Linked DNA regions of Notamacropus eugenii. The protein of the gene in region 2 interacts with the protein of the main gene of each other region in a pairwise test. Links are inferred from orthologs where the notes say so. Each region holds a gene or a part of one and is shown on either strand. Other genes may lie near its edges. The genes, in order: beta-crystallin B2, CRYAB, gamma-crystallin D-like and LBH.

The links.
Region 1: the proteins of CRYAB (region 2) and beta-crystallin B2 interact in a two-hybrid assay, tested with the Homo sapiens proteins (2 studies listed by BioGRID and IntAct). The link is inferred for Notamacropus eugenii from reciprocal best matches to the Homo sapiens genes CRYAB and CRYBB2.
Region 3: the proteins of CRYAB (region 2) and gamma-crystallin D-like interact in binary tests that used the Homo sapiens proteins (3 or more experiments, as listed by UniProt). The link is inferred for Notamacropus eugenii from reciprocal best matches to the Homo sapiens genes CRYAB and CRYGC.
Region 4: the proteins of CRYAB (region 2) and LBH interact in a two-hybrid assay, tested with the Homo sapiens proteins (2 studies listed by BioGRID, with this or other methods). The link is inferred for Notamacropus eugenii from reciprocal best matches to the Homo sapiens genes CRYAB and LBH.

Annotation. Positions count from the first base shown.
Region 1 is NC_092875.1:21,054,032-21,061,419, forward strand, and holds the start of beta-crystallin B2, read right to left. Parts: upstream 3,003-7,388; 5' UTR 2,631-3,002; intron 1,916-2,630; 5' UTR 1,842-1,915; coding exon 1,783-1,841; intron 1-1,782. UniProt on the Homo sapiens protein: Crystallins are the dominant structural components of the vertebrate eye lens.
Region 2 is NC_092876.1:142,265,843-142,273,469, reverse strand, and holds the start of CRYAB (alpha-crystallin B chain), read right to left. Parts: upstream 3,011-7,627; 5' UTR 2,633-3,010; coding exon 2,435-2,632; intron 1,089-2,434; coding exon 966-1,088; intron 1-965. Other genes in the region: HSPB2 (heat shock protein beta-2), read left to right, coding at 4,039-4,132, 4,848-5,302. UniProt on the Homo sapiens protein: May contribute to the transparency and refractive index of the lens. Has chaperone-like activity, preventing aggregation of various proteins under a wide range of stress conditions.
Region 3 is NC_092877.1:305,337,013-305,343,217, reverse strand, and holds gamma-crystallin D-like, read left to right. Parts: upstream 1-4,027; 5' UTR 4,028-4,041; coding exon 4,042-4,116; intron 4,117-4,211; coding exon 4,212-4,454; intron 4,455-5,408; coding exon of another isoform or gene 5,409-5,411; coding exon 5,412-5,684; downstream 5,685-6,205. UniProt on the Homo sapiens protein: Crystallins are the dominant structural components of the vertebrate eye lens.
Region 4 is NC_092872.1:532,390,132-532,397,117, forward strand, and holds the start of LBH (protein LBH), read left to right. Parts: upstream 1-3,972; 5' UTR 3,973-4,234; coding exon 4,235-4,260; intron 4,261-6,986. UniProt on the Homo sapiens protein: Transcriptional activator which may act in mitogen-activated protein kinase signaling pathway.

The DNA.
Region 1 (7,388 bases), on a different chromosome or scaffold from region 2:
GCTACCCAAGTCATCTTCTTAATGCATCTTTAGGACTGTGTCACTCCTATCCTCAAAAACTTTCAGTGACTCCTGAAAAATGTAAACTCCTCATTCAAGCTACACTGATCTACTTCATAATAATCATATTAATAACTAACATCTGTATAGTGCCTACTCTATGTGCCAGATACTATGCTACGCATTTTACAACTACTATTTCAACAACCCTGCCAGGGAGGTGGTTTTTATTATCCCCGTTTTACAGATGAGGAAATCAAAGCAAACAGGTTAAATGACTTGCCCAGGGGAACACAGTTGGTAAGTATCTGAGGCTAGATTTGAACCCAGGTCTTTTTGACTCCAGGCCTTGCATGCTATCCACTTCACAACCTAGCACACACACATTCCACCTTTGGGCTCTTTATCTTTGCATTGATCTGTCCCCCATGTCCACAATGTTCTCCCTCCTTCCTTTGCCCTCCTGGCTTCCCTGGTTTCTTTCAAGACTCAACTCAAATCCTGCAGTCTTCATCCTGCTACCACTCACTGCCCCTACCTTTCCTTCTAAGCCCACCCTCCACTTACCCTGTATATATCTTGTTGGCCCATAAATGCTTCCATATTGTCTAATTTATTAGAGTGTGGGTCCCTTATGGGAGGGGACTGTGAGCTTTGCCCTTCTTTGAGTCCCTAGTACCTGGCACACAGTATGTACTTAATAAGTGCTTACAGACTAATTGAGTCAAGACCTCCCCAATCCAGGTCCCCATTATCTCATTCTATTTTGCTCTATATACTCTGTGCCCTAGTCAGACTGCAATATTCTCCTCTCCCCCTTTCTTCCAGAAAGCCCCCCCCCCTTCCATCCCCATCTCCATCGCCCCTTCTCAAATTCCTTGGAAGATTTCACCTTTATCCTTCTCACCATCTATCTCATATTAGAGTTTTGTCACAACCCCTTCCTAACAGGCCCCATGCTTCTTGGGTCCTTTGTCCATCTTTGTACCCCTGGACTGAGGACAAGGAGATGCTTGATGAAACTTTGTCCTCAAAGAGGACATATGAGAAAATACTTTCACTCACTCTTTTCAAGAGGTGGGGGTACTTGGGTGTGGAATATTACATATGTTATCAGATTTATATATATATATATTGATCAATTTTGTTGCTCTCTTTATTGTCTCACTCTTTTTTTAAGAAATGATTATTTCTCTTATAAAGGATGTCTTTTTGGAAATGGGAAGGAAAAGAGACTCATGGAGAAATCTTAGCTTATGGGCAGGTAGGCGGCAACGTGGCTAGAGTATCAGCCCAGGAGTCAGAAGTGAGTTCAAATTTAGCCTCAGGCATTGACTAGCTGTGTGACCATGGGCAAGTCACTTTTTGCCCCAATTGCCTCAAAAAAATCCAAAAAACAAAGGAAAAGATCTTTTAAAAAATTATTTCAAAATAAATTAGGAGTTAAAACCCTGTCTGCTCCTTCTTAAAAAAGTAAACAAAAATGAATGTTTCTTGCATTGAGCTGAAAATCTAATTGATAGAAGGAGGAAGTCAGAAAATGACCACCCAAGACTGGCAATCTTTCTAGACCATAGCTAGGGTTTGTCCATCTCTTAAGCTGGGCCTCTAAGTGTCCTGGAGAGAGGGATTCCTTTGAACATGATTAAGTCCCTATGGACTGTAGCCTTGTCAGAGTTCGGTCCTGCCAGGCTCACCACCTTTCCTGCCCTTTCTGAAATTTCCCATGTGGAGAGGCCCCCCCCCCCGCACCCCTGTTGGGAAGAGGAAGCCCATACTCACAATTTGCAGGGGTCTAAGGGAGAGGAGACTGTCACTGGTATGACTGTTGGACCAGGCATCCCACCTGGGATAATCTCCCTTTTCTAGGACAAACTGTTCTCCTCGGAAGGCGCTGCGTTCAAATGCCAACCATCTGGAATAAGAAAACCCAGCCTGATCTCAGCTGGAGGAGGCCAAGAAGCTGGTTGGGCAGCATGACGCCAGGGAGAGAGAGGGTACAGACTGGGCAAGACCCCATGAAAAGACAGCTATCCAACCAGGACAGATGGAGGGACGTCATCTGAGACTTTGGCCAAGTTCTCACAAAGCTGGCTCCATCCACACCCCAAAACTTCAAAATCCCACAGAGGTAGATGATGGCAACCAGAAGAGATCCCTAGATCCCAGTGATCCCTCATTTACAGATGGAGAAACTGAAGCAGAGGCAGGTTTAGAACAAAAAGGGTCCTTGGATGACAGATTATTAGAAAGAACACAGAATGTTAGGATTGGGAGGGGCCTTAAAACAGAGAAAGTCAGAGCAGGGCTGGATATTGGAACACAGAATGTCAGAGCTGAGAGGACCCTTAGAGCACAAGAGCACCAGAGCTAGCAGGAATCATCTAGTACAGTCTCCCCATTTCACAGGTGACAAAACAGGTCCAGAGAAGTGCGAATGCGTGCTCCCCATCACAAGGCTAGCTGTGCCCAGAGCCAGGATTCCAAGCTTCCCTCAGACTTTCAGTGCAGTGCTTGACCTCAGGTCAGATGGTATATGGTCTCCTTTGTCTGGTCACTTGGGCTCTTTGTACGCTGGACCCAGAAAACCTCGACCTCCCCACCCCCCACTTTGTACATGCAGCACTTACGGGCCAGATTCCACCTGGATGGAGCCCACCTTCTCTAGCAGACTTTCAGTCAGGTTGGGGCACTCAGTGGAGAAGTCATACTTCTTTCCCTGAAAGTTCTCCAGCTCATAGACTGAGACCTAGAATAGGCAGGGTGCCTGTGAGATCCTCCGAACAAGGCCCTTGTCCCTCTTTGGCTTTTTCCAAGCTTGGGCTCTCCCCAACCCTGACTAGATCTTTGCTTCTCAGAAACACTAGGCAAATCCTGAAGCAATCAGGCAGGTATCTGGAGGAGAAGGCCTATACTTCCCTCTGCTGGCCAAGCAAATCTGACTCAGCCTGGCACTCTGGGCTTTGTGCCACCAATGGGCCCAACTGCCTGAGCTGCCCTGGACAAGATATCTTAGGGAACAGCCCTAGGACATGGCCCCTCAATGGAACCTGTGATCTGCCCCCTTGTGCCAGACTCTGGCTTACTTGATTAAAATCATAGAATATTAGAGCTGGGAGTACCCTTAGAACAGAATATGTCAGAGTCGGGAGGAGCATTAAAAGAGAGAATATAAAAATTAAAGCTCCAGTTGGATCAGGGACATACCCCGAGTTTTCACCCCATCTGGCTACATATCTGTGGCCTGGGTGATTGTCTCTCCCTCCCAGTGGCTGTAAGCTCTGAATACAGCCTTGTTGAGGAGAGGGAGCCCAGAGCCCTAGGGTCCATCTAAGCCCAAGGATGTCCATCCCCCCATGAGCCCCACACCGTACCTTGAAGGGTCCCCCTAAACCTCCATGGCTTTTCCCAGCAGCCGCCTGCTCTGGGACACTTTGCTGCTCCATCATCTTATCACAAAGATGTCTAGATGCCAAAAAAAAAAAAAGTTGCCAACTGAGAGTCTTAGCTAGGTCATTCTGAAGCAAGGGAAGGATCCAATTGACTGGGATTTGGGCGAAACTCTCTCAAAATCACATTCTGTGAAAGATTTTCAGTCTGTGGAAAACGCTTCACACCCAGTCATACCTGAAGGCAGTGATCCACACAGGTGGCCATACAGAGAAGCAAGCAGACACACACACACTTGCTGTGACCCACCCACACTTGGACATAGTCATGCACATGGTAGTACATATGGCCACTCTCCCAGACACAATTATGGGATGTCTGAGGACTGGGTTACTCGTGATGGTCAAAACCCAAGAGAAAACTGGACTTTGTGGTGAAAGTCAATCTCCCCATTCATCGGTCTCTGGGACTGGCCCAGCTCCCAGCTGGAATTCAGGGCCCCAGAATGAAATGTTCCACTTTCCCAGACTTTCCCAGTGGCAAAGTGGGGTCACAAACTGCTTCAGCCTTAAATAACCACAGAAATTGGGTCACTGTCCCCCCTCCCCAAACCAGAAGGGGCTGCCCCAGCCTCAAGGCAAATGAGGCCTCTCCAAAGAAGACAATCCCTGCCAAGATCTCACGGTTGGAGACCAATGTTACTACCCTCCTCGCCCCAATACAAATCAGGTTTCCATGCTGTGGCCTTGGACAAGGGACCGATGGCCTTCCCAGGTCCTTCCATCCAGCAATAACACCCAAAATGAACCCGAAAGCCTGAGTAGTGATTGATCCTCATTCCCTTAAATCAATCCCACCCACCCCCCCAAAAAGAGATGTGCACCACCCCTCCTCCCTCCCTCCCTAGCCTCTGTTACCTCTTAGAGGGAAAATGGATCAGCAGGACTGGGGCTGGATCTCCCCCTGGTCCCTATTTATGGCAGCTTTATGACCAGACCAGCACATTCTGCCCTGCTGCGCCAGCAGCTCTGTCTACTAAATTCCCTCCAACTGACTTCACTTGAATAGAAGGGGCCCAGGTGCCGGTATACGGGATTCCTCCTGTCCACCGTTTCTAGCTGGACAGTGTATAGCAGTGGGGATCGCTCTTCCCTCCCAACCCCCTCCATCTCACTCCATCAGCATTATTTCAGGAAAAGAATGGAGAGGGGCATCGAGGTGAAAGAAACCTTGAATGGGGGTAATAGAGTATCCCTAGCCATGGCAGAGAAATAAACTCTCCAAGCTTGTGGGGGCCAGGGCAAAGCGAGGAAAGTGAGGATGAGGGTGAGACCTGGCTCAAAGGACCATAGATGTATAACGGGAAAGGGCCTAAGAGATCACTTAGTGTAACTCCATTTTACAGATGGAGAAACTGAGGTGCAGAGAGATTGAGTGACTTGCCTAGCATCACACAGCAAATAGGTGGATTCAAACCCAGATCTTACTGAATCCAGGTCCCGTGCTTTAAGTTCTATGGGTCATGGGATGCAAGTTTCTTTGTAACACGGAACTTAATACCCATGGTGGGCAGTTTCAAGGCCAGACCACAAAAGCTAGGTTTTAGATCTCATGTAGCTGAATTGGGGTGCCAAGACTGCCAGAGAACACATTCCAATCTGGGGTATCCCCCAGATGCTTTCTAGTTGTGAACGCCAAGGTCTCAGAAGAGCAATGGCCAGAGACCAATACATGCATGGGAAGCAGTGTAAATGCTCTAGAAAAGGAGGAAGAAAGGAAATAAACATTTATGAAGTGCCTACTATGTGCCAGGCACTGTGCTGAGCTCTTTACAAGTAGGATCTCATTTGATCTTCACAACAACCCTGGGAGGAAGGGGCTATTGTCACCCCCATTTTACAGATGAGTAAACTGAGCCTGAGAGGGGGAAGGGGAAGGGGTTTCTTCAGAGTCACACAGTATATCATGCAGGCAGGATTTGATCTTAGGTCTTCCAGTTTCCAAGTTCAAAATAAAAGAATAAAGCACACTCTATGTATTGAGCAACCTATGCTGCCCTGAATGTTGGAATATTATCATTACTATATTAAGTAACAGAGGAAATAAGATGTCTCTGAGAGATACAATTTGGACAGAGTAAATCAGGGACAAGATTAACAAGGGAAGTTGGTCTAGGCGAGGGACAGAGAAAAGTTCAGAAAAGAAGACGGCCCTAGCTCCCAGCATGCTCCTGGTCCAGTGGATAGGACCATAGGCTTGGAGTTGGGTCCTCTAGGCCAAGTCCAGTACCTTCCTTTGTAGATGAGGAAACTGAGGTCCAGAGCTGGGAAGAAACTTGTCCAAGGTCACACAGCTAGCCAGCATCAGAGGCAGATTTTGACCTTGGTCTTCCAGACTCTAAGACTGATGCTCTGTAGGACAGTGGATGCAACAAAGGCCCTGTGTTCAAGGACCTTAGAATTCAGTTGTTGAAAGGGACAAATCCACAATAATTAGAATAGAATGCCCAGTGACAGTGTGCAAAAAGAGCAGCTCAGGGCAAGGAGGCAGCAGAAATTGTTTAAAGGGCAGAATGTTTCCAAATGGAAAGGAAAGAAGGCTCGGGAACAGCTTCGTGGAGAACAGCCAGTGAGCAAGAAGAGATGGGAGGTGGTGGTATCCATTCCATCCAAAAGAACTGGGTAAGTCACAGAGAGAGTAGGAGTCAAGATAAGACCAGGCCAGTCTAGCTTGACTGGAATATGAATGAGGGGTAGGATGAGATGGGAAAGCTCCTTGGAAGCTAGGTAAGTATGAGCAGCCTTGAATGTCAAAACAATGATACTAACAGTGGACATTCCTATGACTCTTTAAGGTTTGTGATATAATAATAATGATGATAGGACAGCTAGATGGTTCAGTGGTTAGAGCTCTGGACTGAGAATCAGGAAGGACTGAGTTCAAATCCAGCCTCAGACACTAGCTGTGTGACCCTGGGGAAGTCACTTCATCTTGTGTGCCTCAGTTTCCTCATCTGTAAAATGAGCTGGAGAAGGAAATGGTGAACCAATCCAGTATCTCTGTCAAGAAAACCCCCAATAGGGTCACAGACAAGACTGAAGTGATTTTACAACAGAAATCACAAAGTGCTTTGCAAATATATTTCATGTTATCCTCCCAAGGATCCTGGCAGGTGGATGAGAGGTAGATTATCTCCATTTTACAGATGAGGAAGCTGAGGGTGAGAAAGGTTAGGTGATTTGCCCATAGCTACTAAGTCAGAGACAAAGATTGTCTACTAAGATCTACCCAGTTCCCATTCAAACCTTCTATCTGCTGTGCCACCTAGTGGCTACAACATGACTTATACACACTGTTTCATTTGATGTGCTTACACCTGCATTCAGGTCATAGGGGAAGTCACAGGAAGCTGGGTTCAGGAGGAGTTCAAAGAATCCAGTTTCTCTAAAGATTGGGACATCTAGTACAAGAAGGTAATGAAGCCAGAACCAGCATCTGGGGAAATTACTGGTGACCCACTCTTCCTCCAGGTAGCCAAGGAGAGCTTGGTCCCCAGAAAGCAGAAAAACAAAATAAAAGAAAAACTTCAGACTTCTGGAAGAACTGGAAGGACTGCATGGAGATATCTGGGATTCAGGGAAAGATCCAGAGACTGGGAGAGCTAAAGGGGCCTTTGAGAATTTGAAGGAGCTGACATTTAGCGATCATAAACTGTCTTATATGGTTCAATTTTAACCCGTATTTTCCCACAAGTTTTCTATTTAGGATCCACCCTCCCCAACACTTTGGAAGCCTTCCTCCGTTTCCTTTGGTCTCTTGGGCAAACTATTATAAGACCAGAGTCTAAGGGTGGGGAACAGCCCCTACCCCATTTAATCACAGAAAGCCCAGATATTGGATGGATTGAAATTAATGAACTGAATCCATTTAGGAAATTTAAACTAGATGCGAACAAGTGTTGAATCAATCTGAAAGGATCGCAGTGGCTCTTGTTAAGA
Region 2 (7,627 bases):
TTAGATCATCACACACAACAGCCTATTTGAATTTAGGATTTCCACAGCTAACCTTGGTGTGTTGAACGACAGACAAAATCTACAACTCTCTGGTCTGCTTGGCACTGGAAATAACAGAGAGCAAGGAGAACCATCTCTATATCTTTAGTCTGATCTTGTATCATTCCAACCCAGGGGTATGCTGGAGTCAGCTTGAACCAGCTCCTAAGAGCCAACTGTAAAATTTTCACTGCAAATCTTTACATCTCCAAATAAGGGCTTGATTTTTCTTTTTGCTTGTCTGGACTTAAGAAAGTGATAGAAAAAAAATATTACTAATGCAGATTAAATTTAAAAGTGCACCTTGCATACATTTTTTTTTTTTTGGAAAGCTGGTTGCCACCAGCACACCCCTGATTCCAACCCAAAACATTTGGGCCGAAATGGACTCTGTTGGGGTAGGTTGAATACAGTTTGCCACAATTCCTACAGTTTGGGATGTTACCAGGCAATAGAAGAAAAGGTGCATCAAAACCTTCCCCAGGAATTGATGTCTATTTTTATATAAGGAACGACTGCACCCGGCTTTAGGATCCAAAGGACAAGGCTTTGGGCTCACCTCTCCCTCATATTCTCTGACCCTTCAAAACTTCTTTAAGAAGTGGTCTCTCTTTCTGATTTTCATGTGGTCTTAGGATTCAGGGAGTTAAATACAGCTCCGAAACTTAGAACCAGAGGTTTAGAGAAGGAATGGATTCCAAGTGGAATGATGAGTTCTTTGAATACCTTGACAATCTCATGGTTTCTAACTGGGATATCTAAACTGGGTTTCTCCCAGCTGTAAGAGTTTCAGGAATCCTTCTCTTCTTTCTCCCCTCCCCCCTCCCCCCCAAAAGCAGTTCCTCCTTCCTCCTGACACAGCAGAAGAGTGACTATTCAAAGTAAGGGAGTAGGATAAGGCTGCCAATAAGGAACAGGTCAGATACCTGACGCTCTTCATGCTTTCCATGAACCTCGATCACATCGCCCAGCACTTTGACTTTGAGCTCCTCTGGAGAGAAATGCTTCACATCCAGGTTTACTGAGAACTTGTCCTTCTCCAGTCGCATCTAGAGATGTCAGAGAAAGTTCAGAAGAGGGGAAGCCTAGGAAGTTAAGATATTCTCTCTCTCTCTCTCTTTCTCTCTCTCTCTCTCACTCCTGTAGGTGGTATTGATAAGCCAAGAGATAAAACACATCTGCAAACCTCTTCCATCCAGAAGTCTTTCTTTCTCCTTCCCTTCCCTCCCCCACCTTTTGCCCCACCCCCTGGGAAAATACCTTTCCTTAAAATAACAAAATTATAACTCTGGCTCATGGGATCCTTGGCCACCAACCCTTAACTGAGCTTATAGGCCTGGGGAGAAGCCAAGACATTCTCAAAGATGCCCCAAGTGTGAGCCAGAATGTCCACAGCATGTCTACACTAAACAAAAGATGGGCCAGGCTATAATTCTCATGTTCACAACCTACCCCACCCCTCTCAGTTTGCCAAATGCAAAACCTCCAAGCCCCTGGATATTTATCTGTAAAAACAAAGACCAATTCTGCCTGCTCCTTGGGACTGCCAAGTTTCCCACCCACTTAATCTAGAACCACCCAGCTTGCCCTTTCAATGCCCTTGCCCACTCACTCACCAGACTCCTGTTTACTCATACTTCAATATTTTTAAATGAAGGTGTTGTTTGTTGCACAGCTCTTATCTGTCAACCTAGTCTATTCACCTCTCTTCTTCCAAACCAGAGTAGAGAGCCTGAGTCTTGGACAGTCTGAGTCCAGAATTTGAGCTAAGAACTAAAAAAATGATCTTACCCCTTCCTTACATTTAAGCCTACACTAATACTCCCTCCTAACCCAAAGAAACCCAACAATCGCTGCTCGGAGGCTGACAGGCAGGAGGGAAACAAGTTGCTTTTTATGGTCTTACACAGGGAAGCTAAGAGTAAGGTCAGTGGCCTCAAATCTTGGAAGAAAGCATATACAACTAAAATAAAATCAACAAAAAATTGTCAGAAAAGGATTGTAAGGAACCAGAACAGGGGACCAAGGAATGCCAGAGCTATTTCTTTCTGGATACTTTAAAGCAACAAAGTAGCCCCTATCTTAGATTAGGGACTGCCCTGAACCTGGGGGCACATGAGATGACCTCAGTGGGTCCTAAGGGATTTTATTAATAAGATGTTTCGACTTTGTCCTTCACAGAGAGTCTAAAATAAATTGGACCAGACTTGCTGAGAAACTGGTAGTGACCTCATCTTTCTACACTACCAGGCACAGATGCTTTAGACATCTGTGCTATAGATGGGTATGAGATATTCTGTTGGGAAAGCTGAAGCTAGGAGCTCAAAGAGAGGGAATGCACCAAGAAACTGATGCCCCAAAAACCTGCCCATTGCCTGACAGAGGGAAGACTTACCTCTGAGAGTCCAGTCTCAAGCCAGCTAGGTGTTCGAAGGAAAGAGGGTCGAAAGTAGAAAGGACTCAGGGCAGTGGAGGTAGGGAAGAGGTCAGACTCCAGCAGATGCTCTCCAAAGAACTGGTCAAAGATTCGGCTGGGTGAGTGGAAAGGGAAAAAGGGGCGTCGGATCCAAGGATGGTGGATGGCGATGTCCATGGTGGCTAGAGGAAGTTTGTGGGGTATGGCTGGCTGGGCAGCTCCTTCAGCCCAGGCTCCAGTTAGCCTCTTATATACCCAGCACCCGTGAAGTTTCTGGAATGGTGATGTCAGGAGTTTTATTATCCCAGTTCATGGAGGACTGGTGATCGGGGATTTGGCTGTGACACACACCCAGTACTCACCAAGCTAAGAAAAGAGAAACACAAACATATCTGAGCTGGCAAGTGACTAGTCCTGGTCTCCAAATATGGGTGCTCTCCCCGCCCCTTGTTCCACCCCTCCACCCGCTGAGCTTCAGCACTATGGTTCTCCCTCCCCTCTTGGTAAGGCAGAGCCAGGAATCCCAAGCAGCTTGCCCCTCCCCCTACCACTATAGTCTCACATGCCAGGGGGATCAGGCCAGCAACTATCTTGGGCCCAGGCAGAGACTGGCAGGGAAGGAATCTGCCTGGGCTGGGTCCCAAGGACATTAACTCTTTGTGACTTTGTGACTCCTTGGAGAAAGAAGACCAGTGGTCAAGCTATGTCATTGTCTAGACATTTGTGCGTTGCCCTAGGTAGAAGGGAGGAATGAGGGGAAGTCCTTGACATCATTCTAGACAGAAAGGACTTTTGTCTTTTCAGTGAGCTGAGAAAGGAAATAGGGTAGGGGGTGGTTGTGGGGGGAAGCATGCTTATAAAATTACAGAATTTTATTTTTATTAAAAAAAATTTTTTTTTCAGAATTTTAGATAAAAGGGATGGCAGAGCAGGGATTAGAACCCACGTTTTGAAAAGGAATGAGACCACCATAACACCTCAGTCTTGTCTCCTTGAGAGGCCGTCTGGTATAGCAGATGGTACCTTGGCTTTGTAGTGAGAAAAACCTGAATTGGAAGCCTGCCTCATACACTTATTAGCGCTGTGACCTTGGGCAAAAAAAAAAAAAAAATCCCTTCACTTCTTTGGGTCTCAGTTTCCTCATCTGTAAAATGAGGTTGGACAGGTTTGAACTGATAATACTGGATACCTAGCTCTCCGATGACTAGCAGGTTAGATTTAGGAAGACGCAAAAGAATTTAGGGTGCTGTCATCTGGGGAGCGTACAGGGTTTGGGAAGACTCCAGTAAGAATGAGTCTCCTGCCCTCCTTGGACCCGAATCCAGTTCACTCAACCCAGCTGAGCAGCTGAACAGCTGAGCAACCGGATCCGAGAAGGACCTGGAGGGGGAGGGAAGGCAGGATCCACAAAGCTCGCCTTCCCCCTCTCCCCCCAAGGCTCTGAACTATTTTTGGGCAGCGCCGACCCCGCCCCAGCCCCAGCCTTCCCGGGGTCCTTTCCAGAGTCCTGGCTATTCATCCTGGCAGGAGGGGCCCGCTGTGTCCGCAGGGGTTGATCCGTGGCTGAAGGTCCATCTGAGGCCATGTCGGGTCGCTCAGTGCCACACGCCCACCCGGCCACCACCGAGTACGAGTTCGCTAATCCGAGCCGCTTGGGCGAACAACGATTTGGGGAAGGTACAGGATTGACGCCCCTCTCCCCCACCTCCATTTATTTGGGGGGTTCATCTCCTAGCCCGCACTAACCATCACTCCCCACCCCCCACCAACTCGAACTAAATTGACCTCCCGAGACTGGTCATCTCTCATCTAAGACTGACTTTTCCCATGAGTTATTGCCTCATTCCCTACTGATCCCCTACTACAGTCATCTGACCCTGGGGGATCCTGCTGGACAGTGGATCTCTCTTTCCACCTCTTGGCTTCAACTTTTCTTCTCTCCCTTGTCTCCAATCCCCCATCCTGTTTATTATAATTTTTGTATCTTCCCTTCTCCCTCTGTCCAGTCACTGAAGTGAAGAGGCAGATCTGACCCTATCACTTGCTACCTATGTGACTTGTGGTCCAGTTACCTGTTGTGTGCCTCAGTTTCCTTGTCTGAAAAAATGAAGAGGTGGCTGAAGTTGTAACTTTAGACATTACTCTCTGGGCCTCAATTTCCTGTCTGAAAAAATGAGGGGTTTGGAGTCGGCCTCTATAAATCCTTTCCAGCTCCAAATTTGTGGTCTCTTCTCCCCGTATACCTTTCCCTGTCTTTGACACTTTGTTTTTGGTCTTCCCTCCTGCCCTGCCCATGCACGCTTTCTCTTCTTTTTCCATTCTCCTTTTATACTTTTTTCCTTCATCACATCCCTATTCCCTACCTCATCTTTTCTTTCTATCTACCCCTTAGGCCTACTCCCAGAGGAGATCCTGACTCCTACCCTGTACCATGGCTATTATGTCCGACCACGGGCAGCTCCAGCTGGGGAGAGCAGTGGAGCAGGGGCCTCGGAGCTCCGTCTTAGTGAAGGCAAGTTCCAGGCCTTCCTGGATGTGAGTCATTTTACCCCGGATGAGGTGATAGTGAGGACCGTGGACAACCTGCTGGAGGTGTCTGCCCGGCATCCTCAGCGCCTGGATCGACATGGTTTTGTGTCTCGTGAGTTCTGCCGTACCTATGTCCTGCCTGCTGATGTCGATCCCTGGAGAATCAAGGCGGCACTCTCCCATGATGGCATTCTTCATCTGGAGGCTCCACGGGGAGGAAGACAATGGGACACAGAGGTCAATGAGGTCCATATTTCTCTGTTACCTAGGCCTCCTGACCAGGAGGAAGAAGGGGAGGGAGACTTCATGGGACTCTGATTATCCCAAACCTGGCACCAAGCAAGTCCCTTTCTATCTTATAGGAAGGGCTATTGCTATATGGTGAAGGAAGCAGCTGCCCACCAGCCTAGAGACAGTTATATCTCATAGGGGAAAGGAAGGAAAAGGGGAAGGGGAAAGTGGATGGGAAGGGGCCATGGCCGAGGGTGGTGGGGGGTGGATAATAGTGATCCAGAATGGAATGTCTATCTAGTTTAGTCCCTTGGAACATGTGTTTGTCATTCAGCTGTGGGTAGAGATGAATAAATCCAAATCCCAGGGCCCTGTTTGCATTTGTTCCTGTTCTATAGCCTGGAGAATAAGACTTAAGAGTAAGGAAAGAAGTTCTAGACACAAAGACTGCAGAACTTCTGGCTGGACAGAGCGCTCATAATTTGGATATGCTGAGCTCAACTCCAGACTAAGCTCGCAGCTGGAAGCTGTGATAACAGCAGGGCATTGGCACTGACTCCTAATCAGATTCCTAGCTCTGATTTTCTCACAATACAACAAAAGCCAGAGTGATCCTGGTAGGGGACGAGGGCTATGCCATCCAAACAAGCCAGAGGGCATTGTCTGGGCTGGTGATTAGAGGTACAAAGACAAGGGTCTCCAGACAGTCTGGACTTTTCAAGGCAGAACTTGGGAGGGGTCTGGGGGAAAGAAAAGAACATGTTTTTGTCTAAGCAGTGTTGCCTAGAGCAATGTCCTTCAGTTCCTGGATATCTACTTCTATCAACTAGACAGAGTTCTCCCTTTCAAGGGACTGAATAAACCCAGGGAGCATGAATACTGGAATGAAGGAGTGGATGAACAAATGAATGAATGAATGAAAAAGCATTAAGCAAGGAATCTTCCTCCACAATCACCCTTGTGCCTCAAAGTGTCCATAGCAGTCATATATCATGATGCTAGAGGGGTTTTTATAGATAGATCATCTGGCCCAATTCTTCATTTTATAGATGACGAAACTGAGACCCAGAGACTTAAGATATTAAATTTGGAGATGGATAAGAGCTTAAAGGTCATATAGATCAACAGCTTCATTTTACACATGAGGAAACTGAGGCCTATAAAGGAAAGTGGCTTACTCCAGGACATGCTAGTAGATAGAGACAGAGTTGAGACTAAAATCTGGGGTATTTTGCCCCTAACCCATTTTCAAAAGTTTAAATTTTTTTCAATAATCATTTTTCTCCCTGCCACCTCCCCAGCTTTGTAACAAATATGCATGGCTAAGCAAAGCAAGTTTCTGTATTTGCCATGTCCAAAAATGTATGGCTCAGTCTTCATTTTTAGTGCAACACCTCTCTATCAGGAGATAAATAGCACTCTTCATCATTGGTCCTTTGGAACCACAGTTGGACATTGTGTCAGAGTTCTAAAATCTTTCAGAGGAATCTAATTAATAGAATCTAATTAATACCTTTACATGGACTCCTACCCTCTCTTTCAGGCCAAAGAGAAAGTATTTTACTCTAATTCATGAAATATCCCATAGTAGGAATCAAGCTGCTCCATCAGTTTCTAGCATCATTTCTACCACTTAAGGAAAGGATCAAACATATACTGGGAGGAAGAAGAGGGTGGTGGTGTCCAGACTCCTATTTCAGGGTTGACGTGTCCAGAAAGGCTGGTTATTGCTTTCTTGGGGAAGCAGTGCTGAGGGAAGCCCCAAGTTCTGGGAAAGGGAAATTATTAAGTATACAGGAAGCTCTGGAAACCTGGGTCCCTAGTTACCCTTCATTCAGTCCTTGAATAGGCAACACACACCCAATAACTTTCCCCAAATTATCTCTACCACCAGCCTGTTATTGACAGCTGAAAATTCTCCATTAGAAATTAGTTAACTAATTTATCGTCTCCAGTTAAAGTGTGAATACTGATAAGAATGTTAGTATAGTAGGTACCTTAATGTAATTGATTGATTCTTCAGTAGCTGGAGGTTCTGTGATCTCATCAGTGCTGGGTACACCTCCAATGCTCTCCCAACCCATGCAACTCTTGGTCCTTGCCAAGGTCCCTGCCCTCCTATAAATTTTTATAGGGGCTCCATACAATGCATTGAGGGACTTCCCCTAAATCACTTGGCACTGATACCAATCATGAGGACTACCCAACAGTCATCCCTTGCTCTTGTTATTGGTCAGCCCATCTTTTTTTTCTGGTCACACATTTCTCTGATGACATCCTTTACCCTCCTTCTTTTCCTCAGTTCTTCATTTGTAATGTGTTCCCAGCCTGCTCATGCCTACCATTCAATTCAATTCAACATGTGTTAATTAAGCAACTACCATGTGCAAGGTATTTTCCTAAGTACTGAGG
Region 3 (6,205 bases), on a different chromosome or scaffold from region 2:
TACTGGAGGTCCTATAGTCATCCCAAAGCAGAATTCATCTTTCCCCCAAAGCTCATCCATTTTCTGAGTTTTCCTATTAGAGTTGAGAATATCACCATTCTCCCAGTCACCCACCCACTCTCATTCACACCATATATCTACTCAATTACCAATCTCTCTTCCCAACGATATTCTTATACATCCCTTCCAACTCACATAGTTACCATCCTACTTTAGGCTATAATCCCCTCTGGTCTGGACTAATGACCTCCTAAATGCTCTCCTTGCCTCAAATCTCTTCCTACTCCAATCCGTCTTCCACACAACTGTCAAAGAAATTTTCCTAAAGTACAGGTCCATTCATGTCACCTCACTCACTGCTCAATAACCTCCAGGAGTTCCTATTGTCGGATGGATCAGATATAATCTCTTTTATTTGGTGTTTAAAACTATTCATGACCTAATCCTATCTTATCTCTCCAATTTTGTTTTTTGTTTTTAATGCATTGCTTTCCTCCTTATATTCTTCAATCTAGTCATATTGGCTTACTCACTGCTTCATATACATAGTTCATTGTCTCCTATCTCCATGCCTTTGGATTCGTTATTCCCATGCCTAGTGCACACTCTCTTTTCATTTGACCTCCCTTCTTATTATAATCGCCTTTTATTCATCTTATATGTTATGTATTTATTTTGATGTACATGTTATCACCCCAGTTAGAATGGTTGTTATTAACTGACTTTGATTTTATTATGGTCCTTCTTTTACAGATGAGGATACTGAGGCAGAGACAAGTGAGTTGCCAGCAAATCACACAGCTATTACCTGTCCATGGTCAAATTAGAACTCAGATCTTCCTGACCCAAGGTCCAATGCTCAATGCTATGACACCTAGAGGCTGAGGTGATCTGCCCAGGATCACAGAGATAGCAATGAATGTCAGACTCAGAATTTGAAGAGACATTTTCTTATTCCAAGTTCAATGTTGTTTTCACTGTAACTGGCAGTTGGTGTCTGTAATGGCAAGTAAAATAGGATCTTTTACTGTTTTTGTTTTAGTATAATCAAGAAGCATAATGCCTCTATTTGTTCCAAGATCCATGGCCATTTAGATTGTAAGGCCAAGGATCCTGGAAGGTGACCGGCCTAATGCCATGGGCTGCCCGGGTCCTCTTACCTATATCAGGTCTTCGGTGGCCAGCCAGATAAACATATGAGAGAAGAGACCTCCAGAGTCAAACAGAGGTGTAGGCTTTATTCCGGATACAAGCTACATGTCAGCATGCAGGGTGAGTGCTCCCCATGGGAGCCCCCCATGGGAGCCCCCTTCTCCCTCCCGAGGAGCAAGGAAGAACCCAACCCCCTCTCAGGCTTTCCTGTCCTCATTTAAGCTCTCCCCCTGCTAGTTCACTCATGGACACCGTGCTCTCAGCCCCTTAGCCAATTAACAAAAGGTGTGCTCAGACCACGGACCAATCTCAAGGGTGTGATGCTCTCCCCAGCAAGTTTCCACTGAGAAGAGATGCAAAACGAGATAACTCGTATCTCACTCCTCAATTCCCAGCTGTTCTCTGGGGGGCCTCGTGAGAGTTCGGCGGTTTCAAGAAGCCCTCACCTTTACCTGCCCAAGACCATTCTTACCTTAACAGGAAGGGTGGATTGTAAGGGAAAGCAAAGGAGGATCTTTTGTTGTTTTATTTTGGTATAATCAAGAAGTATAATACCTTTGATTGAATAATGTGATTAAGGAGGAACTATCCCACCCATTGATGGGCCTAGCAAGATTTGTAGGAAGGTCCACACCTTTAGTTAATGAAGCACTGGTTCTCAAGGAATATGATCCCCTCTGGCTCCAAAAAGTGTATAAAGACTCTAAGGTACAGTTTTACTTTGGGGCTTAGTTTTTGGAAGAAGGTTTGTGCGCTAGATAAGACTCTGGGAAAGCAACTAAGCAGCCCCTCAGCTTTGAAAACTCAAGTGTTACTTCCCTCCCTGGTAACTATGGTCAGACAGTTGGATCTATCTGTTGATTTGTAATATGTGTTTTGATTATGGTCAGACATAGGAAATGCTGTCTGTTGATTTAGATTTCTCTGTATTTTGATAGATAGATAGATAGATAGATAGATAGATAGATAGATAGATAGATAGATAGACAGATAGATATAGAGAGAATATATATTCTCTATATATAAATATATAGGAAACTGAGTCAAATTTACAAAAATAAAAGTCATTCCTCAACTGATAAATGGTCAAAGGATATGAACAGGGAGTTTTCAGATGAAGAAATTAAAGCTATCTATAATCATATGAAAAAATGCTCTAAATCACTATTAATTAGAGAGATGTAAATCAAAATAACTCTGAGGTACCATATCATACCTATCAGATTGACTAATATGACAACACAGGAAAGAAGATAAATGTTGGAGAAGATGTGGGAGAGTTGGAACACTAATTCATTCATTGTTGGTGGAGCTGTGAACTAATCCAATGATTCTGGAGAGTAATTTGGAGCCCAAAGGGCTACAAAAATCTGCATACCCTTTGACCCAGCAATATAGCTTCTAGAACTATATCCCAAAGAGATCATGAAAATGGGAAAGGGTTCTGTATATACAAAAATATTTATAGCAGCTCCCCAGACCAAGAACTGGAAATTGAGGGGATGCCCATCAGCTGGGGAATGGCTGGACAAGTTGTGGTGTATGAATGTAATGGAATACTATTTTTCTATAAGAAATGATGAACAGGAAGACTTTAGAGAGGCCTGGAAGGACTTATATGAACTGATGCTGAGTGAAAAGAGCAGAACCAGGAGAACACTGTACACAGCAACAACCACAGTGTGTGAGGAATTTTTCTGGTAGACTTAGCCCTTCACAGCAATGCAAGGACGTAAAACATTCCCAAAGGACTCTTGAGGCAAAATGCCATCCACATACAGAGAAAGAACTATGAAACTGGAGCACAGAATGAAGCAGAATATTTTTCTCTTATATTATATTTTATTTCGTTTTGTTTTTTCTCATGGTTTCTCCCATTCATTTTAATTCTTTGCAACACGACTAATGTGAAAATGTAATAAGAATGTATTGTAGAACCCATATAAGATTGCATGCCATGTCGGGGAGGGGATGAGGAGGAAAGGGGAGAAAATCTAAGACTCATGGAAGTGGTTGTAGAAAACTGAAAACAAATAAATTAATAATTTAAAGAAAAATAGATCTCTCTGTATTTTCTCTGAAGTCCAGTGTGCTGATTTTTCCCCTGAACTAACTGAATGATACATGTGCTTGTCTTTCCTTTAAGAGAAGCAGATCAAAGAACCTGTGATAGCAGGTCTCCCATGTATGTTGGGGTGCTTACTGTTACAGTATCTAGCTGTAATCAGTTGGCAGCTGCCATCCTCTGAAGTATGGGCAGCCTCTCTGAGAATCTCTATGATATTTTCACATAAACTTAACACAAAGTTTGTTTCACTTGTGATCTAATATAATAATAATAAAAACTAGCATTTATATAGAACAGAACACTTTATAAATGTTATGTCATTCAATCCTCACAGCAAACCTGGAAAATAGGGTCTCTTCTTATCCTTATTTTACAGATGCGGAAAACAAGGCAGAAATAGGCTAAGTGACTTGCCCTGGGTTATGCAGTTAGGAGCCAGGATTTTAAAGATTTTTGTGATTCCTAGTCCAACACTCAACCCACATCCACTTTCCTGAGAAAACTTCCAGAAGACACATTGCTTATATTGTGTCTAAACATAGAGGAAAAGCAAGAAATGAGAATCGACTATCATATGGGGCAGAACTGTGCACTTCAGAACAAAGAAGGACCCAAACACAGTCAGTTAACAATGAACTGTCTTTGTCCCAATGGTTATATTCCTCCCCCAATAGCAAGTATAGGACAGTACTAGAATGCACCAGAGAGAAAGCAGAGCATAGCACACTCTTCACTAACGACAGAATCAAAAAGCAAACCACAAAATCCCCTTACGCACCAAACTGGGCCCCTTTTTTGTTCTTGCCAATGCAGCAGCAGAAATGCTCTATATATACGAGCGGCTGTTGCCGCTCCCCCGAGGACACTGCATCCATCACCAACCAGACATGGGAAAGGTGAGTAAAGTATTGCCAGGGGCAGGGGAAGGGTGCCACAATTTAAGGGGCAGGATGAGAGGAAACAAGAGCCATGAATTCTTCTCCCTCTGCAGATCACCTTCTACGAGGACAGAGGCTTCCAGGGCCGCTGCTATGAGTGTAGTAGCGACTACCCCAACCTGCAGGCCTACTTCAGCCGCTGCAACTCCATCCGGGTGGATAGTGGCTGCTGGATGATTTACGAGCATCCTAATTACTCAGGACATCAGTATTACCTGACAAGGGGAGAATATCCTGACTACCAGCAATGGATGGGCTTTAATGACACTATTCGGTCCTGTTGTCTGATACCTCAAGTGAGTTCTGCCTCCGTGAGCTAAAAATTAGGGGGCCAGAAAGTTTTTCTCAAAGAAAAAAAAGAAAAGAAGAGAAAAGTCTAGCGAGTTTCAAACTGTGACCCAAATACAGATAAACACAGCAGAAATGCCCAAGAAGACGCTGAGAAATGCACTCTAGGAAAGAACTTATGACTATAGAAAATAATCAGTTGCTTTTATTATATCTACTAGCATTATTTGGTGGTTCTGAAATAATTTCAAAAGTCCATTTTTAGAAATTGTTCAGAAATGAAAAGCAAAAACAGCCATCAAGTAATATATAGGCTAACTGTGGCCCTATGATGCGGCTAACTGTGGCCCTATGATGCAGACATTCAGAAAGTAAGAAGTAGACAAATTCTTCTACAGATCATTTGGAAGTAGGGGGAAGAGGAAGGGAATAAGCATTTATATAGTGCCTACTATGTGCCTCATGCAAATATTATCTCATTTCATCTTCACAACTACCCTAAGAGATAGGTGCTCTTATTGTCTCCATTTTACAGATGAGGAAACTGAGGCAAAGAAGGGTTAAGGGTTAAGATGCCCAGAATCTCACATCTAGTAAATATCTGAGGTCATATGTGAATTCAGATCTTCCTGACTCCAGGTCAGGAGTAAAAAATATTAGCAATAGCAATTCCTGGAAGAATATATTCTTATCTTCTTCTTTGTTATAATGTGGTCCCTGTTAAGCTTCTTTATCCTATACAATAAATAGAAGAAAGTCATAAGAAGATATATTTAATGATTTAGCCTCTATAAAAAACAGATCAAAAGAATATCAGAAATACACCAAGTAATTTCAGAATTTCTATTTATTTCATCTATTCATCCAATGAAAATATATTAACATGCTAAACTATCAATGAGCTGAATTCTGAAAATGGCTCAATTTGTTGGGGTTTTTTTTCCTTCTGTTTGTTGCCCAAGCAGACTGGCTCCCACAGGATAAGACTGTATGAGAGAGAAGAATGCAAAGGTTTAATGTCAGAGCTCACCGATGACTGCCCTTGTATCTATGACCGTTTCCGACTGAATGAAGTCCACTCCTTCAACGTGCTAGAAGGCTGCTGGGTCCTCTATGAGCTGCCCAACTACAGAGGAAGGCAGTTCCTGCTGAGACCTGGAGAGTACAGGAGATACCTGGACTGGGGAGCCATGAACACCAAGGCAGGCTCTTTAAAGCGGGTTATAGATTTATACTGAAATCTGCTTATGCTACCATCTTCTCATTTTGGAACCTAATAAAGTATTTAGTTTGTATTATTGGCATGTAATGTCTCCAGTGTTTATTTTATATTACATATGAATAAATACAGTTGTAAATGCTTTAGTACTGAAAGGCTTTGAGATGAATGGGGGTAACTTGCCTTCTGGAGAATTCATCAAGGAAAGTTTTAAGGAGAAGGTAAATCTTGGGCAAAATTTAGAAGGATGGGAAGGGAAAAGACATACCTGGACCTTGGGGCAAAAGCAGGAGGCTGAAATGACCAAACCTTGAGTATGAGATAAAAAGTAGGTTTGTCCTGTTAAAACAAAACATATGATTGCGCTCTCTCTCGCTCTCCCTCTCCACATAGATATACATATATATATACATACATATATATATACACACACGTGTATATATATATATATATATATGTATATATATATATATATATATATATATATATATGATGCTGATAGTTAAATGAGAAACAAATGGCTAACCTTGAAACACATGC
Region 4 (6,986 bases), on a different chromosome or scaffold from region 2:
CAGAAACTTAGTAGCTGTGTGACCCTGGGCAAGTCATTTAACCCTGTTTACCTCAGTTTCCTCATCCGAAAAATGAAGCTGAAGAAGGAAACAGCAAACCACTTCAGTATCTTTGCCAAGAAAACCCCAAATGTGGTCAAGAAGGGTTGGGTATGGCAGAAAACAACTGAATAACACACATGAACTCTTTATTTCCTGTCTCTGTGCACTGGCTGTGGGGTCATGAAGAGCCAGGCACAACTGAACAACAAAAAAATTTTAAGTGCTTTTTAAATTATAAAACTTTATAGTGATGTTGATTGACTGAAGTCTAAAAAGTCAGGAGTTTGCATGTAACTTCTGCCACTTAGTCCTTGGATAACTTGGAGGTAAGTAACCTTACTAATTGAAGGTGTCATTCCCTCATTTGTTGAAAAAGTAACCTCTGGCAAACTATAAGTCAGCAGGACTGAACACTGTGGTAGGTGACAGAAAGATGAGAGACCTAATAAGATGGACAAATAATGAGAAATATTTTCAAGTCTTCACATAATACCTAGGCAAGGAGACATCTGCAAGGCTATAAAATTGCTATAAAATTCCCTAAAAGCTTGCTCTTCTCCCAGCTTTTTTATATCTGCTAATGTCATCCCCACCCATCATTACTAGGCATCTAGGACTGAAATCTTAGTCTATCTTTTAGTTCTTACTTTTCCCAAACGTGTTATTTCTTCCTTCACAATATTACTTAAAACCCTTCCATTCTCACCACTCACAGAATCACCATCCTAGCTTGTTATCTTGTTTGAATAATTGCAATAGCTAACTAACTTGATAGCAATAAGCCTCCATTCTGTCCCTTCTTTTATTCATTCCTCCCCTGGTTGCCTACATAATATAATGCCCAGGGCTGGCCATGTCACTCATCTACTCAAGAAGCTTCAATGACTACCTATTCCCTATATAGGATAAAATATAAACAGCTTCCTTGATCTAGCTTATTATTATTCTAGCCTTAATTCATTTTCATGCCCTCTATCTCTCTGTTCCAGCTAAACTGAACTACTAACTATTGCTAGATCTCATAAAGCATCTCCAATCTCTTTAAATTTGTTAAAGTCAGACCACAGGGCACTTGTTGAATTCCTCTACTTGTAAGGTACAGTTCACAAGTTGCCTCCTCCATGAAGCCTTCACACTATTCTAGGTTTGAAAGCGTTCTATTCTTCTTCAAACTCTCTTACAGCTCTTTGTATTTCTCCTTCGAATTTGCCATGAGTTATCTTGTAATATTATTGGTGTACATTTACATCTTCCCTATTAGAATATAAGTTCCTTGAAGGCAAAGACTGTTTTGTTTAGCATTGGCATATTCTCAGTAATTAGCACAGTTCCTAGCACAAAGTCAAGTGCCCAATAAATGTTTATTGAATTGAATCTCTAAGACGGAATATATTTAACAATTAGGTTGCATCACCAGGAAAGTCCCATCAGATCCCTACATTTTTCTCCTGGAAACTGTGCATCAGCTGGGGAGCAGGGAAAAATTCAGGACTTGATGGCCTTACCCTTGGAACACCAGTGGCCATACAAATCCCTGAACATACTCCTCTTCTTACTGCTCAATTGGGGACATTGATCTAATTTTTCTCTAGAGTTCTGAAAGTTTCCAAAAGGCAGATGACGTAGAAAAAGTGAAGTGTGGCTTTTGTAATGCAAAGTGGTGGAACATTCTTTTCCTCTAGGAAGTTTTCAGTGATTGGCTGTGAATCTGTGAGTTATATATATCTGGGGAGAAAAGGAGAAAGAAACTGGTTAGTGCCAGGCCCTCCTCAACTTCAGTCTTCATAATCTTCTCTCTGCCTTTAAACACTCCATTATCCCCCACCAGGGGTATGGTAAATATCACAGATCACAGACTTCACTGTAGTTTGCATTCTTATTTAGTTAAATAGATTACAACATCCCTCACCCCATTCAGCATCTTTGGACAGTTACCCCACCACCTCTGAAAAAAAAGTCCAAACAATTTCCCTTTGTTTCCTGTTACCTCGACACACTATGAGTATCATGTTAGTAACCTGTCCACAGAAACGTTGCCCCTTACCAAGCTACTATTTCTATAGTAAAGTCTCATAGGAGAGTTTTTCCCTCCCTCTCCCTTACCCACTGGTTGCCGGAGGTTAAGTGGAAGAACTAGAAGTAAAGAGAGATAGAGGGTGGTCTTTTCATTACTATTTAATACAAAGAAGTAAAGAAGATTCTGTGCACAGATTCCTGGCATATACTACACATTCCTCAGCCTTCCTTTTACCCAGTTTGCCTAAGGTATGCATACGATTGTGTTTTATGTACACTCACTGCCTTTCATAGAGCTCAGGCTGACTTGAAAACAGGTGTGTCTTTCCCTTTCATTCTATTGCTTTTGCCCCCACCTTTGCGGGATAGACGTGTTAATCTCTTCATTTTTTTTTTTCAGGAGCAACAACTCAGATTTAGATAAAGAAAGCAAAGGAGCATCCTTCTCAAGTCATCTCAACCCAGGCTGGCTCCCAGACTGGCCGCTGGGTGAGGGGTTGGGGGAGGGGAGTTCGGGCGTTCACAGGGACAGTGGTCAAACTAACAAGACCGGCGTGGCTATTCCAAGGCCCCTAAGGGAGGAGAGAGATTAAGAGGAATTGTCAGTTCTTTGTTTCTCTGGTCTAAAACCAGACTTCCTCCGAGCTTGGTCTGGGAGCTGGGGCTGTGGGGTGGTGTGTCCTCTCCCTGTCTGCCTCTTTCCCTTTCTCCCCCACCCGTTGCCGCGGAGTGTATGTATGTATATGTGTCGTGGAAAAAGCCCAGGATGAGACTACATTCTCTCTGGCACACACACATGTATGCATACATATATGCATGTATGTTGTGTGTGCGTAGACATTTATTTATGCACAAGTATACGCACATAGGTATTCATGCAGGCATGAATGTGCATGGATATCTAGTCCAACACATTTGAGTGAGAGGGACCCTCCGCGAACAGCAGAGACTGAAACCGATCCTTCAGAAATCACACAACTTCGGGTCGCCGTTCTACAGATTGTTTCTACTGGGCTCGGGGCTCATAGCCAGGGTCGCTCGCCTGAAATAGAACAGAACAGCTCTGGGCTTGGGAGGCTGGCGGGCTGGGGAAGGGGCGGGTTCGGAGGGACTCGGGTCCAGAGGAGGCTTCCAAAGAGGGCTACCCTCCAGGACTGCCTGGACTCTGTCTAGTGCCCAAACCTTGGGCGCGGGATGTAGGTGGGCAGCAATAGGCTAGGCAAAGGCGTGGATGCAGATGCCAGCTATCGGGGCCAGGGCAGGGTGGGGGGTGGGGGTAGCTTCAATGAATGGATGCGGAGTTGGGGGTGGGAGGGCTCTGCTTTTAAAGCACGGCTCATTTGCATTGAAATGCATGTCCATATGCACTAAAGGACTAGGATTCCACTCACGTACAGTCTTCGCACTCCCCCCCCTTTCCCATTCCACCCCATCTCTCCTTCCTACGTTCAGAGATCTCTCACCCCCTCTCTAGGAACCCAAAGGGGACAGCTTACTTTGGATGGGGGAAGGAATGGAGCGGATTGGATTTGTGATAGGGAGACATACAGCCGCAGAATCAGCCAGCGACATGCAGGGAGGAGGGGGGTCAATGTGTGCGTGACAGTGTGTGTGTGTGTGTGTGTGTGTGTGTGTGTGTGTGTGTGTGTGTGTGTGTGTGTGTGTGTGTGTGTGTGTGTGTGAGTGCGTGCGCGGGAAGGGGTGGGGGGGGAGCAGGGAGGGAAGGGGGGAGCTGCAGCAAACCAGGGCCCTTCTGAGGAGCTGAGCGGAGCCGCAGGCACTAGCTCGCAGCTACAAAACCATTCATGATTTTGGTGACGTTATTCCAGTTGTGGGGGGGAGGGAAGGCGGGGCCTCTGGGGCCCAAGACCCGCCCCCCCCCGCTCCTATAAATAGGGCTTCCCAGGCTCTTTGTGGGGCTGAGAGCTCTTTGGGAAGGGGATCGGCACGTCTGCTTGCTAGCCTTTCCTCCGGGTGGTGGTTGAGAGCGGTGGGACCCTGTGTGCCTGATATCTTGCCCTCCGGACGGGGTGTCCCGGGACGGTTAAAACCTTCGTTGCCCCTAAAAGCTCGAGAAAACTGCTGGGCACTGGGCCACTGCAGTGCCCTCTTTCTACTGGCCCGGGGACCGTTTTTTAAATATCCAAGGGTGTGGGTCAGCCTCCCTTAGGACTTCATGTCTGTATATTTCCCCATACACTGGTGAGTATTCATTCTTTACCCTTGGTGTCTGTCGTACGATGGGGTCTAAGCCAGAGGCTCTTGTCATCTCCTCCCAGAGTCGGTCCCTTTGGGGTACAGTGACTACTGAGTGCTGTGCCTTAATGAGGAGGGGCAGTTCTCCTTTCCTGGCGATCATTCAGCTAAATGCCGAAGTCGCACCTAAGGGAGACGTGTGTGTTTGTCGGGGGTTTTGGAGGACTTAAGCGCCCTGGAACCTATTGAGAGAAACCAGACAAAGACAGTGAACTTGGAGGCTTCGCATAAGTGCATGATGGCTGGGGGTACTGATGGGGGAGAGGGTGTAACAAACGTGACCAATAACCTCCCCACTCAGTTCTGTGCTCCAAACGCCCCCTCCTCAAATGAGGATTGATTTTAGAATCTCGTGAGTGTTGCTTGATTTGGGGAACGGAGACAGTCTTTCCCCGTCTTCCTCTCTTATTTTCTCCGCTGCCCTTCTCCCTCTCATTCTCCGCCCACCCACCCCTCTCCAACCCCGCGTTTTTCCTGTGGTTTGCATGCAAGTCTTGATGTAGAGTGCTGGAGATGGGTGGGCTTCAGAGGGTGCTGTGATGGCTACTGTGGTTCTGGGTGTTGGATGAGAAGAGAGCCCCCTATGGACGGGCTGGAGGGGAATGGGGTGGTGGTGGTGATAGTGGGGATAGTGGTGGTACAATATGTGTGTGCGCGCTCGAGTGTGCGCGTGTGTGCGCGCCTTCTCCCCGCACACCCTGCGAGGAACGCTGCATTCTTTTGACCCCATCGCTTTGCTTTCCCCTCCTTTCAAAGAGAAGTGCCTTTGAAAACCACTCGACTTGACTAGGAAGGGGGGAAAGCAGCTGATCAAGTCCCAGCAGCAAGAAAGGGGAGCGGGGAAAACACAAACCAGCACCCTGGGATGGATTCAAGGGTTGGGGAGGTGCGGGGGGACGTGGACTGAGGAGAGAGGCTGCACTGATGAGGGCGGGTTTGGAGGTCCTTAGGGACTGTACCGATGGGGGTGTGTTGAGATCTCTAGGGCGGTGATGCTGGATTGTTGGGAGTCTATTGAGATGCCCAGGGGCAGGGGGCTGGACTAATGGGGGTGGATGTGTGAAGATCCCTGAAGGTCTGGGGCTTTAGCAGTGGAGGGACTGTGCAGATTGCGAGGTGCGGAGGAGGAGCTGTGTGGTTTGCCGAGCCAGGCCTCAGAGTCGACCTCCTGCAGGGGCTCCGAGCTTGCTTCCTTCCTGCTGGATTCGAGCAAACATTTAGCATCTCCCCCGGGTTGGGGAGGGGGTGCCAAGGAGAGTGAGCTTGATGCCTGCAAAACCTGTTCCCACGTGTGAGAAACAGAAGCTTCTAGAGGAACCCTGGGCCCCAACCCAGTGTTTGTTTCCTGGCAAGGCGGACTTGCGTGTACCGAGCCAGAAGGGTGAAGGTAGCCGCTTGCAGCTAGCCTGAAGCTGCTAAGCTGAGATGGAGCTGGAAAGTTTGCAGCTTTTTCCTCTCCACTTTTCACAGCTGTAGCCCCAGACCTCAGCGATAAGCAGGGAAAGGCCCCAACCACTGGGCTGCAAATCTGAGGCAGCTCCAGGTCTTTCTCTCCACCACCACCACCACCCACCCCCTTCCACCCCCAGTGTTGAGAATCAGTTTACTGGGAGGGGTCCCAGGGAAGGACCTTGGACTTGGGGCAAGCAAGGGATCTGGATAGCTGAATGCTACCCCTCCCTGGGTCCCCAGTCCGACTCTCTATAGAGAGATGAACTTGATGCCCCTGGAGAAGTCAGTGTCCCTTTAAGCGGGGCGTGGCTGCTGGACTCAGGATGAGAATAACTGATGGGTTCCTCATGCCCCCATCCCCTACTTCTCATCTCAAGCTTACCCAACTGCCTTCACTGACTTCGACTAATGAGAATCCAAGTAGGCTATCAAGTCAGTGTTGACTAATCTATCTCGTTTTCAGTGGAGAGAAGCATTAATTTCTGGAAAAAATATGCCCACACCTTAGTATTTATGGCAAGGAGACAGCTTTTGTTTCCTTTCAAGCTCTGCCTCCCATGTATTTAGTGTTATTTTTTGTGTGCATGTGTGAGATAGTGAAGATGAGTGAAGGTGCTGAGGTATGTATGGAAGGCATACTCCCTATGAAATATGGGAATGGACATTGACTCCCAGAGTCCTATGCCCTTGACTACCCTGTGTGTTCAAAGTTCACACTTGGGGTATGGAAATGCTTCTTTGGCTGCTTTGTCCTTTTGAAAATGCCTGGTGCAGGCAGAGCCAGGCAGTCATTAAGGCTGTGAATGTACTTGGTGCCTTACTGGTACTGAGCTGGCCAGGGCTGTATTTGAGGTTAGAAAAGGAGGCATTGACCAATGTGAAGTTTGGAATGGTACCGACCCATCCAGGGTGTAGATAGGACATGCTTCAATTTAGAGGCACCGGGAACTATGAAGAAATTCTGAAAGCCTTCATATCTGAAACTTGTCTCTACACATGTGGGAGAAAGGGATAGACATCACTCCGATGAGTCTTTTTATAAAATGACAGTTTTGTACTTTTGTCATCATCCTCATCATTGTTAATAACAATAAAAGCATTGCAAGGAAGCAAGTTAGTTGAGATAGTTTAGAGAGAGATGAAATAACTCCTGGTGCCTTCCATTCCTAAGATGTAATGAAACCAGACAGGGAACATGGATATAGATGGCCCAGTGGGGG